2 linked regions of the Drosophila melanogaster genome follow. Changing the gene in region 1 together with any one later gene gives a genetic interaction. Each region holds a gene or a part of one and is shown on either strand. Other genes may lie near its edges. The genes, in order: Nab2 and hrg.

Region 1 (7,811 bases):
GTTGTGGGTCGGCTTTGTAAGGACCGAATCCGGCAGCGAGACTCCATTCAGGCGGGTGCAGTAGTCCCTTAAGGAGCGATGGCAGTAGACGGTTTCCTTGGTGCGCAGGAGGTTCTGGCGCCCAGTACCCAACAGCGAGTTGATGCCCGGAACACTGGGCGGAAGCTCGCGATCCACCAGTGGACCCAGACGACTGCATATTTCAAGCAAGTGATTGGCGCCAATGTGCTTGTACTTTCGTTCCTGCGAATTCAAAATCAAAATTTAACGTATTCCTATCGATTGGGCGATAAACGGTGCGATAGCTTCAACAACGTATGCTTGTCTCGTTCCCTCGCGCACAAGTCAAGGCAAAGTGGTGGTTGCTTGCATGTGTCTGTGCGCATGGGCATGTGTATGTGTGAGAAACCAAAATGTCGGCTGGTTGCAGCTAATTGTTAAAACTAAATTACAAAGCATTTGTTTAAAAAATTAAGATTTTTCAAAATTTACAATTTTTACGAGGGTTTTAGAATTTTTGCTTTCCACTTTAGTCTTTTACGAATTTTTGCAATTTTTTGCTGCCTTTTTAATTAAATAGTTGCTTACTTATTTGTTAATTTAACAGTCAGAATGATTGATGTCTTTAGTTGTAATGTTTTTTAAATTAACAACTTGAATTTTGATGTGCAACTTTTTCTCTATTCCCTGACACGATGACGTCACAAAGGCGAGCGAACGACTGAGACGGAAAATGCCGCAGCAGACGCACACTTACGCAAGACTTAAATGCCGATCAAAAGGCATTAAACGATAACTTTGAAAAGCTAATTGATTAATTATGAAAACACTCACCAATTCCTCAAAGGTCTGCTCATGCTCGTTTCCCTGCCAATCGAGACGACGCGGCAAAACCTGGGAATCGAAAGGTGTACGTATATATAGACGGGTGTAAATATATATGCATGCATGTATGACTCTTATCACTTGCACTCCGTGACGTCGACGATGACGTCGCGGGGGCATCCCTATGATTCCATTTCTTTTTTCATGTTTTTCTCTTCTTTTTTTAATGGACTATATATTCACGTGGCCCCAGCAAATCCACAATTCAGTCTGATTCCCAACTCTGAGACAAGCGGACGTACAAGTGGGTTTTTCGTCGTTCGCTGCCGGCAGCAGAAACAACAACAAAACCAAAACAAAGCGTATAAACAAACGCGGTTTTCTATTTTTTTTTTGGCCCCCCTCTCAATTCGAGTCCGAAATATCTGTGCCAAAAACACAGCTGCAGCACCAACAAAACTCACCTTCTTCTCTTCGAGTTCCCGGATCAAGACCTACAGTTGGATAGAATTTAGTTTCAGAATTAATGTAAATGTTTGTAAACAAAACGAAATTCCGCTCTTTTAGCGCGAAATACGATTCCAATGCGATCTCGCGCGAGCGCTGCTTTCAACCCACCTTCGCCGTCTCCTCCAGCGGTCCCGCGGCCAGGAACTTGGAAATGAGGAAGTACAGCTCTGCAAGATAGAGGATTTCACGGGTTTTAGTGCAACAAGTTGTCGAAAATGCGCTCGCTGGGAGTCGTCAATATTCCAGATATATCTGGCCAAAGGGGCCCGTGAATTTCGCTTGGCGAAACGCAGTCGAAAAAACGCAGCCATTCGATTCGAAGGGCGAGCGAAACACAGACACACATTTCACAAAGTCAAAGGGGCTGCCTTTGGTAGCCCCGTTGGACGCACTCGCTGCGCCACCGGGCGGTACGCACCTGGCTTTAGATCATCACCGGAACTGGGTTGTCTAGTTTCCATTATTCATTGCGAATTGCAGCTCCGATTATGACAAAATTGCAGTTGCTTTCTTCTAAAATTCTTTTCGCAGCTTCTTCTTCCCGTGTGACACTCGATTGCCATTCCCACCGAATGAAATGCCTTTGCGTATCGATAGTTGGTGGCGGGGCTCACAAGATGGGTATCGAGTCTTAGCCGAAGGAGCCAATTTTCGTATTTGAATTTGAGATGATGCACTGAAATGCTTCGCAGGATTCTACAATCTAAGATATTTACTTCAAATTGAGAATTTTAATTCTCAGTCAAACATATTCGTAGCCATTGGTTTGGAATTTAAGCTTATTATGAAATTTATATTTAGCTATGTGATTAAATAAACTGTTTGCAATTATTCGCTTTTAATTTTCGAATGTAATTTAATAGCTACTACACAAATTCTTGATAACTAGACTTATGATTTAATGAATAACAAGTGAAATCTTTTTATATTTTTAAATTGTCCCATTGGTGTTGATTATTTTGAAGTTATGTTGCACTTCAGTTCATGGCCATGGCCAGGAGCATTTTTAAATTTCAGAAGTTTTTAATTTGCCATTTTAATTTCAAATGAAATTTCTGTAACTATTTATTATTTTAAAGCTATGTTTATAGAAAATCGATATATACATTATAAAACGTGTGAATTAAACGTGAATACCCTTAATGTCAAACGCACACCACTAGTTATGAATATCGGAGCAGCTGCGATATTTTTTTTTTTTGGGAGGTTTTGCCATTTTCTAATGTAACAAAAAGTGGAGTGTAGCCACAAAGTAAGCGTAAATAATAAATGCTCGCGGCGAATAAACAGCGAAAAAGGCGATAGATAAACCAGCAAACATGGAGTGCAATCTGGGCAGCGAGATTGGTCAGAAGATGCGCGTAAGTCATTGGAAAAAAATCAATGAACTCGTTATGGATACCGCTCGGATTGGATACTCCAATACTATATATATTTTTGCACTTCATTAATAGAGCGCCGTAAAGGCAAAGCTGCTGGAGCTGGGAACCGGAGGATCGGCCGGTTTTATAGACGATGAATTGCCGGACTACGTCATGGTCATGGTGGCCAACAAGCGCACCAAACAGCAGATGAACGCCGAGCTGAATCTATTCCTAGGCGATCAAACTGACCTCTTTGTCACCTGGCTGCACGAAGTGCTGCAAAAGCTCCAAGAGGTCACACTCCCCACATCCAGTGGTATGATGGATATGCTCATCATACTTAAGCACCCACTAACTCCAATTTTTTCAGCTTCCAGCAAGAAGCGCAAGTCTCGCGGTCAGGAGAAGGACAAAAAAGGATCCAAGAAGGATAAGCGACCGCACCGAAAGTCCGGAGATGAGCTGTCGGAACCACAGCCAAGTTCCTCAGATGCCATGCCAATTGTCAGTTCCATCACGGATGTTTTTGCCGAAGAGCTTCTCGAGAAGGCAAAGAAAACCATGGACATTGATCTCAGTGCCAAAGACGAGATCCTGCACAAAAAGAAAAATCGCAAGTCCATCGAGGATGAGGATGCATCGGCCAATAGGGCGCTGGATGTGCCCGCTGTGTCTGAGATCATCTCAACTACTATCGGTGTTAACCGGCAAAAAGACCTCGCTGAGCTGGCCGAAATCCAAAAGAAAATTCATGCAGCCAAGAAGCATTTACGCCAGATTGGCGAGATCGGGGATGAAAGCGATGAATATGATGAGGATCTGTTGAACTTGAGCGCGAGGGAGGAGTCTGTAGACCAGGAGCCAGAAGAGGATCCCCCGAAATTGGAGGCTCCACCACGAAAAGCTAAGAGCCCCATTATTTTTAACAGACGCGAGAAGACACCCGAAAAGCGTCCAGAGGCTGAACCGGAGATCGATTCCCGCCAGGAGGAGGCGGAGGAGAAGAGCCCCAAAAAAGATTCTTCGGCTGACAAGGCCAAGGAAGACCGGTCTGAAAGGCGATCGGTGCATGACCGTCTCGGTTCAAAGGCCCAAACGCCGGCAGATCGTTCGCAGCGCAACCAAAAGGAGCTCTATGTGCCGACCCATCGGCGACGGAGCGAACCCGAGGCCACCAAAGAGCGCAGTCAAAGAGAGCGCACCCGAGAACGACGCTCCAGCCGCGATACCTCTAGGGACACTAACCGTAATCAGCGCCAGCGTCGTTCGCCTAGTCCGGAGGCTCCAAGTACAAAGCAACGCATTGTCTCCCAAGTTATTGTGGCCGTTAACAAGCCACCGGAGCCGTCGGACGATGAGGATATGGCCGAAAAGCCAGTCAACTCCGTTATTAAGGTCAAGCCAAGACCAAATGTTTCTCCCAGACGACAGGCCTGCAAGAACCTCCTGCTGCGAGCAGTGGCGGACGCGCAGCGTTCCACAATCCTCGCCAAGACTTCGACACAGAAGGAGGACGAGGATGTGGGCAAGATCATAAGTTCTCTAGGCAAGCGCAAGTCGGAGGATAAGAATGATCAGATTCGTAAACGGAATCGCGAGAGGAAACGAAGAAAGAGAAGTGCACAAGGCAACGAACTCTTCCGGCGCACCACTCGGGAATTAGTGGTAAATGTGACACAAAGGGATGGAAAGCGTGAACGGCGGTCCAACGAGCGTCGCGCCGAGATCAAAGTGGTGGAGGAAGAATATACGCCAAGCCTAATGACTGAGGGCGTCGAGACGTATGTGCCGCAATTGCTGACCAACGTGGATGAATTGGATTTGCACATCAGCTCCCACGACGAGCCAAGTCCCAATTCCGGAGCCCTCAAGACTCAGTTTGTGGTCACGTTAAACGGCGACAAAGCTCTCGGAGGTAAGAATGTCAAGGGAGGGGCCTCTCGCAAGCGGCCGAGCAACTCTCGTAAACGATCCACCTCACCCGTATCCACGCCACAAGTGTCCTCCTCTAATATTGAGCCCACATCTACGACGGTTGACAAGCGACGCCGATCCAATCGGGATAGAAGCTTCTCGCCATCGCCGAGACAGAGCAGTGGGTCACCCTCCCTGCCGACAACACGCAGCATCAATCGCAACGAGGTACGCCGTCAGCCTCAGGAAATCAAGAAGATCATCATAAAAAATGACACCGATGAAGATGATGAAATGCACGGGTCACCGAAGAAACGATCACCAAACAAGCGCCAGCCAGCGGCGGCCAATGGTCACAAGGACAATAAGGATAAGGGTAAAATCGAGGAAGGCTCAACAACTCCACCGCTGCCAGCCAAACCAAAGGCGCGGGCGGAGAAGAAAGCTTCCAGCAAGGAGAAATCCGTAAGATCTAATTCAGCGGAGACGTCATCGGCCGCCAAATCTGTCAGTGCGTCCACTTCCGTTTCGACAACTACCAAAGCCAAGCACACGCCCATTCGCTTCACTCTTAAAAGTGAGGACGAGCCGAGTGCGAGTAAGAAGCGTCGTTCTGGCAGCCCCGATCGTGATGTCGCGGCTCCGGAGAGACGCAGGGTATCCATACGCAATCCGGAGGACAGGAAATACGACAACTTGCCGGCGTGTAAGTGTATTCTTTCAATTTTAACAAATTTGAACAATTACTTAATATCTTGCCCCAATTAGTGAGCGCAGTTAGCGTGGATTCCACCGTGCTGAAGGTGAACAAACCCAAGGAGCGCTGCAAATATCATCCAAACTGCACAAAGCAGTTCTGTGAGTACTATCATCCAACGGCGCCGTGCAAGTCTTTCCCCAACTGCAAATTCGCGGACAAGTGCATGTACTCGCATCCGAAGTGCAAATTCGACATGGCCTGCATGAGCATAGACTGCAACTACGCCCATGGCGGTCAAAGGGATCTAAGCCATGTCCAGCTTGCTGCTCCACCACTATGTAAGTTGATAGCCTTTGTATTTAATTTTACAAACTCACAAACTTTTTTTTTAATTTACAGCCTCTCACGTCATCCCAGTGCAGAACTACAAGTCGATATCGGCTCCTGTTACATCCACGACTGCGACTACCATGTGCAAGTACTATCCGAATTGTTCCAAGCTGGGCTGCACCTTCTATCATCCCAAGCCCTGCCGCTTCGGCAAGAACTGCGTAAACAAGCTGGAGTGCATCTTCTACCATCCTGAGATGCAGAGCAAATTCAAGTGGGTGGCATCTTTGGGCTAATGTGGACTGCACTTTCGTTCAAATGATATTTAGCAAATGTACTCTATTTCGAGTGTATGATTAGGCGAGCTTGGAGTTTTTTCTATCTATATACACCGAGTTGTATACCTTACCTATTTAATCTTCATTATTATTTGCATTCATCCTACTGCTTATAATTATAAACATGTGTATTAGTCATTAGAAGCTCGCTCACATACATGATAAACATAACTTAACTTTGTTGGTCCTGCGAATTTGGTTGCATTCAAACCATAAGATACACGTCATGGTAAAGCTGACGAATAAATTTAGCAATAGTTGCTACAAATGAAAAAAAGAAAACGATTTTTATATATAGTTTGCCGTGTGTCTTTAACTGGATAATTGAATAGGCAATTGATTGGAAAAAGTCGAAATATTTTATATTTATTATATAGTACAGTCTCTTAAGTTTACGCTTAGATACTCTAGAGCAAAATATGTTTTTTATTTGATTTACTTAACCAATACTTTTTCTGTTCTAGTTGTCATTGCTTTTCGTTACTATATTTTTTTTTGTTATAAGGCCACATTTACTGATATATATACTCGCGTATATATAGGCATATAGGATTTTCTGTTTTTAATTTCGATTTTAGCTCAGCTAATTTAGTTTAAGAGTCGGCAAACAATCTTATTTACAAAAATACTCATACAATACATTTGATGGGCTTCCTTGTGGAATGCAAAGGGGAAATCGACGTCGGAGCTCAACTTTGTTCGCAGCTTTAGGATTACATATACGAGAAATCGAATACTGAATCTAAACTATCGGAACATAACTACATAACGACTATAGGGCGGTACGTATGTCATCTAAACTACTAGAATAAATAGACAACGGCATTATTAACTAACTAAAGCGTAGGCAGGGGATAAGGGACGAGTCGAGGTGGAAGCCTGGCTGCTGCTGCTGCTGCTATTGCTTTGAGCACCTTAAGATGTAAACCATAACTAGGGGCCAACTTAGTACAAAACATTGAGTTACTCCTACAGCTAGGTGTATATGGGCGGATTTAAAAATATCTTTTGTTTGCTTTGCTAATCGTCGTTCATGCTCAAAACTCAAAACTAAATTAGTCGCTCTTCCGGCGGTGGCTTCAGTACGTTGTCCATTTCCAGCCGTGGGTTGCAGTACTCTTGCGCGCTCGGGCTATAGGTGCCCCTGGTTGCTCGCTTGTTCCTGGCCATCACCAGGAAGGTGCCCAGGAGGGCTCCCGCGATCAGCAGCAGCACCACCACTACGGGTATTACAATGATGGCAATGTCTGTGGTCGAAGGCCCGTCCTCCTTGGCCGTAATCTGAAAAAAGCGAAGAAATCAATATATTGTTTTTCTTTCACTGAATTTGTAGTGTATCATTTGAAAACTTACCGGTGCTGTGCAATTCTTTCCCGCGAAACCTTCCGGACACTCGCAGTAGTAGTCCGGTTTGGCGCCGCAGGACTCTACGCAGCGACCGCCGTTTGAGCAGAGGTCCGTAGCGTTGCAGGGATCCGTAAAGTTGCAGTAGGCTCCGCAATAGGGTTTCTGGCAGATGCACTGGAAGGATCCGGGCTTGTTGAAACACCGGCCCAATCCGCCGCAGTAATCTCCCTCCATGTTGCACTCGTCGATGTCATTTTCACAGCGAATGCCCTCGAACCCGGTGCCCTGGCAATCGCACTCGTACCTGCCGACGAGGTCCTTACACTGACCACCGTTCTGGCATGGATTCGATTCGCACTCGTTAATGTCCTGCTCGCACAGGCGACCAGTGTATCCCAGACTACATTTGCACATCGGTACCTAAAGAGAATGTTTCGATGAATAATTGATCAGTTGAGTATTCCATTTGTAGGCCACTTACCG
Region 2 (9,799 bases), on another chromosome or scaffold:
GATTCCACAATCTCATCGCTGGGAGGGGAATCCCGGTGGCTGTAGATTCGTACAATCTCAATCAAGGCAGCAGTGTTTTCAATGGTTTCCTTTAAAAGAAAACGGTTGTCATTAAAAAGCGATAATCTAATTCCTACTTACATTATTGGTGACAATCGTGGAGGGTGAGATGGAAGATAGACTGTGCTGCATATTCATGCCCGGCGGTTCCTGTGGATTTTCCTCGTTTTGGTTCTGTATTAGCCACTCCATCGTGGTCGAGTAAATGCCATTGTGTGCTTTTAAGGCAAATGCGGCTAGCTCCCGCTTGAAGCCCATGTCCACGAGGCATTGCAGCGTATCCGCTTGCTGATTTCGGCGATTGATCAAACGTTGCTTTAGCATAGCTATCAGGCGTGGAGCATAAGGGCCAGCTCCTATAACCGCCGCAGAAGCTTGAGCCAAAGAGATCAACACCTTTCGCACATCGTATTGGATCTGGAAACGGAATAGGATTAGAATAATCAAAGGAGTAGCCAAGAATTGTACTCACATTCGACTGCTGAAAGATTTCATTAATATCGATGGTGGGCAGCTGGTTGCAATTGACGGGCACGTATCGGGTGGCGCTCTCCACCAGCTGCTCATTTGGGCCAGGAACCTCACGTATCCGTGAAACAGTCTGCGGCAGAGTATTGCGTCGTGGGGAGAGTATGAAAGTCTCATTGTTGCGAACTTTTAGCTGGGCCAGCGTGTCGCCCTCGTTAAGCTCGCCGCCGAAGTATTCCGCCCGATAGAGACGGTATCGCGGATTAAGATGCCGCACATCTGGGGCAAATAGCTGGATGGAGTCGGGATCGTCGCTCAGTTCCAGAATCACCTCACTCTTCAGCTCGTTTAGGCGCTTATTAACGTCCGTTTTGAAGATAAGAACCCGAGAGCTGGGGCAGATTACCCGCACCAGGATAGATTCACCTGGCCTGCTGGCATCGTCTGCCTCGCCAGAAGTAGAGCTACCTGGGCGATTTGTATGGGCTGATTTCCTAAGTGGATTCCGTTAAGAATGGACTTAATTAAAAGATTAGCATAATACCTAAGCATTACTAACCTGAGAAACAAACTGCGCAGTTTTTGCATAGTTTGTTTTAGTTGGATGGGTAGTGACAAACCAACGGAGAATTTCGAAAGACAAATATTTGTTTCGGGTGAGCACTTTGAAAAACATAAGCATATTCGTTCGGTTTGATAACTTACGCATTAGCCTGCTGTTGGTGAGTGGGCGTGGGCGAGTCCTGTGGCACCACCTTCTGATGCTCAGCACGTTCCTCTCGTCGCTGCAGCTGTAGCTCAAGGTGAATGCGACGTCGGCGAGCGGGCGATGGAGTCCTTAGGACGCAACTGCCCCCGCCCACAAGGGGCCGCGAATTGGAAGCGGATATCCCGCCATCCGTCTGCGTTTCAGATTCCGCCGTGTGGACATTCAACGAGGATCCGCTCAGGCTCTCCGCATCGCTGGCGTCTGTCCGCTGGCTGTGGCTATGACTGCTGCTCCGAGGGCTTTCGTCAGCCGGAGAACCACCGCTGCGCTTGCTACGCGCCAACCACTTGGCCCGTTTCTCGTTGAACTTCTCCCGCATCCAGGGTATCATCTTGGGTCTGCAGCTAGGTGTTTGTTACATTTTGCGGCACTTTTCGATGGCTATTTTGCATATTTCTCGCAAGTAAACAGAATCGATGCGTTATTGCAAAAAAAAAAAAAACGATTTTTATTTTTGTAAAGTCGATAGCAAGCAGCTGTTTGATGGTGCTGCCAGATAGGCCATATCCATGGGGAATACCCCTAATCTTTATAACGGCTATTTTGACATGAAAAACTATTTTAAAATATGTTATGTGGCTGAACTTTATAAATATATCGTGATATGTACATATATGAAGAAAACTATGTTATTCCTTATCGTTAGCCAATAACAATAACAGGAAAACATTGGGGTTAAATACTTTTGTTACTTTACTGCAATAAATAGTAGTTACCCGAATATAGTAATAGAATTAAAGAATTCATTTTCCAAAAACTATTAGTAATACAATCTAAGTGTCTTAATGGTAAATTGGTACCTGGTTAGACCCGTCATATAAAACCCAAACATACTTGAAATCCCAGTTTGAAATGGGTTTTCAAATTTCAGGTAAGAAAATTGGGTTTTGAATTTACCTACACCAAAGGTGCAAAAAGTGACATCTGTCGCAGATTTCAAATAAGCAGATGGCCAGATTAGGTCCCAACTGTAAAAGAACCAATAGTAAATCCTATGCCCTCAGCTTATTTTACTTAAGGCGGTATCGCTTGCAGATGACTCTCACTTTTATTACTTGCGAAACGAATCTGCTTGATAATGAAATAAAATGGTGCTCATACACATTATATTTAAAACCAATTTGCTAAAAATCATTTAAAAATTCTCACTAAAAATGTCCATTCACAATAGGCATACGTAAGCAGAGAGCATGGAAATCTTCCCATCCCTAGCTACTCCCATTGGCTCATCTCTATGCGCCGCAAGAAACGATAACGATTGCCACAAGCATCCAATCGATTGCCACACATTTTAATTATTGCTAGAACGCGCAGGGGCTTAAAAGTTAGTAAAATATGTTTGCCGCCCACTAAACGCCACAGCGTCGATCCCGTCGTGTTATCAGTGTGCCCCCGTCACCTCCGAAACGAAACAAAAGTGGGCGGAAAGCGTTTGTGTTTGCGTTTTGGCAAGTCGACTACTGGCATTTGTATATCGGTGTGTGCGTGTGCGTCACGTAGCATAAAACGCGAGAGTTTCTGTCCGTTAAGCAGCAGTGGAAGGTGGTGGAACGGGAACGGAAAAAGAAACGAAAAAAGAAATGTGAAGAGTGCGGCAAAAAAGCGAGGAAGACGAACGTGCGAAAAGAGTAAAAGCCGGAGCGACAACAGCACATGAATGGGATACACTCTCCTGCCAAAAGTTCTAACAAACAAACATACATACATACATATGCACCACTCACGAATGCAGCGGACAAACAGCACGACACGCCACACACACACACACCTTCAGATATTGTTTGAAGCGGCGGCACGGGAACAACAAAAACAGGCCAAGAATCTGAAGAATAAGCGCAGGTAAGCAAAAACAAGCAGAGAAAACTTTTCCCCTCGTGTGTGTATGTATACGGCGCGTGCCTGTTTGTGTGGGTGTGCGTGAGTGCGTGCGTGAGAGCACCGTTTACCTGTGTGGGAGGATTGTCGTTGGTGAGAGGGGGGTGGTGCAGGCGCATAAATATTCGCTTTCTTTGTTTATGTTTGTCATTGTCACAATTATTCTGCTACAAGCAACAGCTACGGCAACCCACTCCAACCGCTAATTTATTTGCCAATTTCTTTTACGCATTTGTTTATATGCCCGAAAGGCTATCCAGTGAACCAGTGTGCCCAGCTGCTTTGCGAAATTCATTGTTATGTTTTTTGTATATAACGGCGCTATCAGAAATATCTTATCGCACATTACAATTTGCATTTACTCAGCGCGAAAGTAAATTGTAATTGTCAATTAACTGTTTTGCTACACAGGAAGAAAAGGGTAATTTCAATTTAGTAGTAACTGTTGTATATATGTAGCCCTTATCACGTGATGAATGTGTATCCCACAAATATTTAGTTCAAATATTAGGTGATTCACTTTTTAAAAAACCGCGTCGTCATCAGTTTGGAAACGCCGTACAATAATTCTCACTTTAAGAAACCCTAATATTTCGCAATCCTTATGAGATTATCATAGTCCGAACAAACCTATTCAATTTCAATACGATCCGCTCTTCCTTAAGAATTTTAAAACCAAACCTTAGAGTAATGCTTTAGATGTCATACTAAATGTATTATTTTCTTTTCCAGCATTTTATTAAGCGCAGTTTCTTAAACAGAGCCACAAGAGGAGGTGTCGCATATATATGATTCCATTTTGTCTTCTTGGAGAGCAAACTTAAATATAATACCACATACATTTTAAGCCTAGATAGGTGAGTAAATCGAATATAGCGATTCCGAAAGGATCAGATAATAACCGTTTAAAATTTCAATTTTCAGGACATAACTTTAAGCTGAAACGAAGGCAGACAGACAACATGTGGAATTCCGAACCAACACATCGCCAGCACCATCAGCACAATGGAAATTCTACCTCGGGCGGACCGCCCGCCAAGCAATTGGGCATGACCTCGGCTATCAGTCTGGCCGAGCCACGGCCTGAGGATCTCCAGCGCACTGATGAGCTCCGCGGCTCACTGGAGCCGTACAACGTCTTTGAGAGCCAGGACGAGCTAAATCACCGTATGGAGATCCTGGCCAAGCTCAACACACTGGTCAAGCAGTGGGTCAAGGAAATCTCTGTCAGCAAGAACATGCCAGAGTCAGCCGCCGAGAAGCTTGGCGGCAAGATCTACACATTCGGCTCGTATCGATTGGGTGTCCATCACAAGGGTGCCGATATAGATGCCTTATGTGTTGCTCCGCGAAATATTGAGCGCACCGACTACTTTCAGAGCTTCTTTGAGGTGCTCAAGAAGCAGCCAGAGGTAACCGAGTGCCGCTCGGTGGAAGAGGCCTTTGTGCCCGTCATCAAAATGAACTTTGATGGCATCGAAATTGATTTGCTGTTTGCCCGTCTGTCCCTAAAAGAAATTCCTGATGACTTTGATCTACGGGATGATAACTTACTGCGGAATCTGGATCACCGTTCGGTGCGCAGCCTCAACGGCTGTCGTGTGACGGACGAGATCCTGGCCCTGGTGCCCAATATTGAAAATTTCCGCCTGGCACTGCGCACTATCAAATTGTGGGCAAAGAGTACGTGTTATTATATAAAATTCTTATAAATTAAATTCTAATTGTTCTCATTTTCTCTCTTAGAGCACGGAATCTACTCAAATTCATTGGGTTATTTCGGTGGTGTGACCTGGGCCATGTTAGTGGCCAGAACCTGTCAGCTGTATCCCAACGCTGCGGCTGCCACACTGGTGCACAAGTTTTTCTTGGTCTTTTCGCGCTGGAAGTGGCCTAACCCAGTGCTACTCAAGCACCCGGACAACGTTAATCTAAGATTTCAAGTAAGTCATAAAAACTTATCCAAATAGTCCGGTTCTCTAATAGATTTTCCTATTCTAGGTCTGGGATCCGCGTGTCAATGCCTCGGATCGGTATCATCTGATGCCCATTATTACGCCCGCATACCCACAACAGAATTCCACATTTAATGTGTCCGAATCCACCAAGAAGGTCATATTGACCGAGTTCAATCGCGGCATGAACATCACGGATGAAATCATGCTCGGTCGCATTCCGTGGGAGCGTTTGTTTGAGGCACCTAGCTTTTTTTACAGATACCGCCACTTTATCGTGTTGTTAGTCAACTCGCAGACGGCTGACGATCATTTAGAGTGGTGCGGCCTTGTTGAGTCAAAGGTGCGTCTGCTAATTGGCAACTTGGAGCGAAATCCCCATATTGCACTGGCCCATGTCAATCCCAAGTGTTTTGAGTTTAAGAAGGGCCAAAGTGCCAACAACTCACAAAACAACAGTGGAAATGAAGACGATCTGAAGCAGTCGCAGGGAAACCAGTCTGCTGTGACATCGGCACCCTTCTGCTCCATGTGGTTTATAGGCTTGGAATTCGAGCGATCGGAGAACCTTAACGTGGACCTCACCGAGAGCATACAAAACTTTACAGAGCATGTGATGATGCACGGCGTAAGTAAAAAATCGAAAATAATGTTTATTCAGTTGCTTATTACTTTTTTAATCTTGCAGGTTAACATCAAAATGCTTAAGGAAGGCATGACCATTGATGCCCGCCATGTAAAGCGCAAGCAGCTGTCGCTTTATTTAGACTCTGACTTCCTAAAACGTGAGCGCAAGTCAATGGAAAGTCACAATAATTTTAATAACACGCTATTGGCTAACCGCAAACGACTTTCTACGGAACTGGCCCAATCGCAGGATCCACTGCCCCCAGGCCAGCAGCCATCAAGTGGAAATCGCGGTCGGGATAGCGGAGCCAAGATACAAAGACTCAGCGATTCGGTTAGTGGTATAAAAAAGATATCAATTTAGAACGTATTAATTAGTCGAAACTTTGTATGTCTAGCTGACAGAGGAGAACTCGAATGCCTCCAGCGATATGGGGGCAGGGACGCCCACCACGCCCACAACGGCGCAATTAAGTGCGCCAAGCTTTAAGAGCTCTGGCAAGAACGGCTCCGAGATAGACGTTGTAGAGCAGGAACCGACACAGCCTCACAACAATGGCAATGCCAGCAGCAACACAACCACAACGGAGGTGGCATGTTCGTGACAACCGCCAACGCTACATCCGCATCCGCCACATCAGCAGCCACCGCCAGCGCCGCCACAGCCACCAGCTCACCATCATCATCATCAGAAGTTCCGAAAGAACAACAACGCGGCTGCGGCAGCCGCCTCCAACAGCATTTTCAACCAACGCTCGATTCTGCATGCCGCTTCCAGTCTATCGGCTGCTCTAAGCATTACCGGACATAAGCGCAAGCAGCAAACGGCAACATCAACAACCATGATCAGCAGCAGCAACATTGCTCACAGCAACTACACCCAGCATAGCACTCACAACAACAACGGCGGTGGCGGCGGCAGCCACTACAACAAAACGTACTACATTGATGATGATGACGAGGACAACAATCAACCACTTTTGACACCTAACAACCAAACACAACAGCAACAAAAAGCGGTCAGAATAACAGCTACATCGGCGTCACCAGCAACATCGGTTCCGGTAGCTGCGAGTGCCGCACCACCGGCACCGACAATTTCTTGTAAGTTGCCTAAATGTTTTTCCTCGTTATCGTACTCTCTTTTCATTTTCCCCAACTTCCTTTGACACGAGACTGTTTCTGTACTCTTAAGTTGCCTATCTACTTACTTTTACGTATTCTATAACCAGTATTCCGCCAATGTGGAAACAATCTAACAAAAACATACCTCTAATTTTTTAAGTTTTAAAAATTCAATTTACCTAGCCCGAGACTAAGCTCAATAAACGATGATGAAAATAAACTTTTTAAAAAAGAAAAAACACTGAACATTTTTCGTATTTTTATTTTCCAAATTGTTTACAGTGAAATTCGTTTGGTCAAACATTTTAGGCTATAGGAATCTGCAAAACAAAATGCGAGAAACAAACCTTGCTTTGTTCAATATTCAAGAAACAATTTCTAAAAAGAAATAAGTGTAAAACATTTACATTTTATTTTGTTTATATTTCGGGTTTTATTTTTTGTTTGGCTGTCTAGCTTTCGTCAGTTTTAATGAATTCATGGCCCTTAAAAAGCATTTGTTAATGTTTGTATTGGGTTTTATAAGGGACAAGCTAAGGAAACTGTTTTATATAGTAGCACAGATATTTCGGTTCTGTGGGATTTTACTACGATAATAACACACGTCTCATCTGGAAATTAAGTAAAAGATGAAGGTATTGTTAAAAAGATTTTTTGCTGTTAATTTGATTTTAATTGTTTCCACTTTGGTTGTACAATAAACTCAAACTTTTTACCACACCGAAAATTACGAATGTTTTGTTTGCATATTCTTGTTGAAGTATTGTAATTAAAACATATATATAAAACATACATATATTCCAATAACCGTTTTTATCCTTTTTATTGTCTTTGCAGTGTAAAAAGTTATTAAACATACCATTTAAGGATTAGTTATCATAGTTATTATCTCCCTATTGATTTCCTCGGCATTGATGCCTGAACATACATGAAGCCCACAATATTTTATACAAAACGGTGAGACTAATTTTGAATTAATGGCCACTGAAGTTTATAATTCGGTTTTCCATTCATTTCAGGTTTCTATCATACACCTTCTACAAACATGTGTTAAACATTATTCGTTCAACCAATTAACATCGCCCTATCGTCAAATCGAAATTGGCATTCGGAGATCAACAATCGCCGTTAAGACAAGAAAACATCATGACTTGAGGCGATTTTTAGCGGCAGAGAAAGCATTTCTCTAACATTTGTCTTAATAATATTGTTGTACATCTTTTTTACTTCCCCACAGCTGGTTTGAGGAGTGCGTAGAAGAGAGAAGTGTGGAGAGGAGGATGTGGATAAAGATGGATGGATGAATGGATGATTGACAGCAGCGGACTGACAAGATCCTGGAGAAGATTCGCTTTGAAAACTATTTACAAACTAAGAAGATTCTTTTTAATTTTTCATCTTGTTTTCAATATTTGTTTTCTTCTTCTTCTAGTTGTACAACGCTGAAAATTTGAAACAATTATGTTCGTTTTTCTAAGAAATGATATCTGAAAAAAGGTAATAACAAAAACATATAAATGAAATGAAGATATTGATTTAATTTTACCAAATAAACCAGAAAAATGAAAGCGCAAGCTAAAACACCAATGTATCAATGTTTTAATTATTTATTGGAGATGTGTGATGGATAATATATTTGGAATACAAAATATTTGCACTGAAAATGTTGGGAACTATTGGATATAATTAAATTGCTATAGAAAAATGTACTATTTTGCTAATGACGAATAAAGGATGAGTAGTTTGTTCCGAAGAAGCTTAAATTAAGAAAATAAAATATATTTATTTCTGCAAGCATAAATCAAGAAAATTTTTGAATTTACATTTAAATGAAGAGGAATCACAAATATGATAATCATTCCTTGTCCCATCAATTTTCTCGTACGAAGACTGATCATGATCAATGTCTAACTGAAATTTAAACAGGTTGAGTGAGTCCAAGATGTGGTTGCCTTTAGTTAATGGCAAGTTGGTGTAGCGGATACTTGGGGATAAAGTACTCCATGCGCTGGTTGCGTCTAATGGCGCACTCCTGGTACTCCAACCAGTCAGTGTAGGACTCATTGTGGCACTGCTCCGAATCCCCTTTCTCGTAGAGCTGCTGGCGAAGGGAGAAAAAGAAGGGGCGCACTTTCTTCTTTATGCTGTAGACGTGGCGCATCAGCCACTTTTCGACTTTAATCTCATTGTAGATGGTCGATCTGTTCAAGCAGACGGTGGTCAGATTGTCCATTTTTGGATAGTAATTACGGACCGGTTTCGGATCCACAGTTATTCGAGGTATTTCATGCCTAGCTACGGCGAAACGGGTGTCGAAGAAATGTCTACCAAAAGTGACGCCCCAAGCATTGTATTCCTTCTCCCCATATTGGTTTGTAACGAATTGTTGAATACTGACGGTCAGCTCTTTGGGTGGTTCAGTTCCTTTTCCTCCGGCGGCACCTCCTTCAGCCGCTCCTGCCGCCGCTGGAGCTCCATCAGCTGGCGCCGCAGCTTCAGGCGGAGGTGGATCTTGTGGAGAAGCAAATAGTCGAATGCCACTTTTATGGATTTTCTTAGGAGCAGTAGTGCTTCCTCGGGTCACAGTAATTGGTGGCGGATTAGTTTCATTGTAGCCAGCTCTACGGTGATAATCATCCTGTAGTTTCTTTGCGAACACTCTGAAGCCGTCGGATTTCTGCTGCATTTGGTTATTGGAGCTTTGATCCACCTTGAAAATATCGAACGTCGACGGATCTGGTTTTACTTGCCTTGGAGCTCTCTCCACCGGAACATCCTCTGCCAAGACGATTGGAAGTGACTCCAGATCGGTTGTAGCCAATGGCAAGCCAACGACTCCTTGTACCCATAAAATCTAATGGATTATAATATACATAGGTGCTGCAGTTGGTGGCTCGACGCACTCACGATTATCGATGAT

What was found.
Region 2: of Nab2 (region 1) and hrg, changing one enhances a phenotype caused by changing the other (phenotypic enhancement), as found in Drosophila melanogaster (one study listed by BioGRID).

What each region holds. Positions count from the first base shown.
Region 1 is NT_033777.3:24,313,100-24,320,910, reverse strand, and holds Nab2 (nuclear polyadenosine RNA-binding 2), read left to right. Parts: upstream 1-2,491; 5' UTR 2,492-2,654; coding exon 2,655-2,696; intron 2,697-2,789; coding exon 2,790-3,015; intron 3,016-3,069; coding exon 3,070-5,319; intron 5,320-5,381; coding exon 5,382-5,651; intron 5,652-5,712; coding exon 5,713-5,939; 3' UTR 5,940-6,251; downstream 6,252-7,811. Other genes in the region: BRWD3, read right to left, coding at 1-243, 835-894, 1,290-1,319, 1,444-1,502, 1,754-1,796; crb (crumbs), read right to left, coding at 7,032-7,262, 7,335-7,748, 7,810-7,811.
Region 2 is NT_033778.4:19,662,584-19,672,382, reverse strand, and holds hrg (hiiragi), read left to right. Parts: upstream 1-2,550; 5' UTR 2,551-3,136; exon of another isoform or gene 3,137-3,265; intron 3,266-3,314; exon of another isoform or gene 3,315-3,593; intron 3,594-3,904; 5' UTR 3,905-4,029; intron 4,030-4,096; 5' UTR 4,097-4,134; coding exon 4,135-4,855; intron 4,856-4,918; coding exon 4,919-5,115; intron 5,116-5,173; coding exon 5,174-5,755; intron 5,756-5,815; coding exon 5,816-6,088; intron 6,089-6,152; coding exon 6,153-6,359; coding exon of another isoform or gene 6,360-6,858; exon of another isoform or gene 6,859-7,123; intron 7,124-7,716; coding exon of another isoform or gene 7,717-7,721; 3' UTR 7,722-7,836; intron 7,837-7,898; 3' UTR 7,899-8,464; downstream 8,465-9,799. Other genes in the region: Kpc2 (Kip1 ubiquitination-promoting complex subunit 2), read right to left, coding at 1-89, 142-477, 533-1,022, 1,088-1,099, 1,234-1,628; CG11018 (uncharacterized protein), read right to left, coding at 8,834-9,733, 9,787-9,799.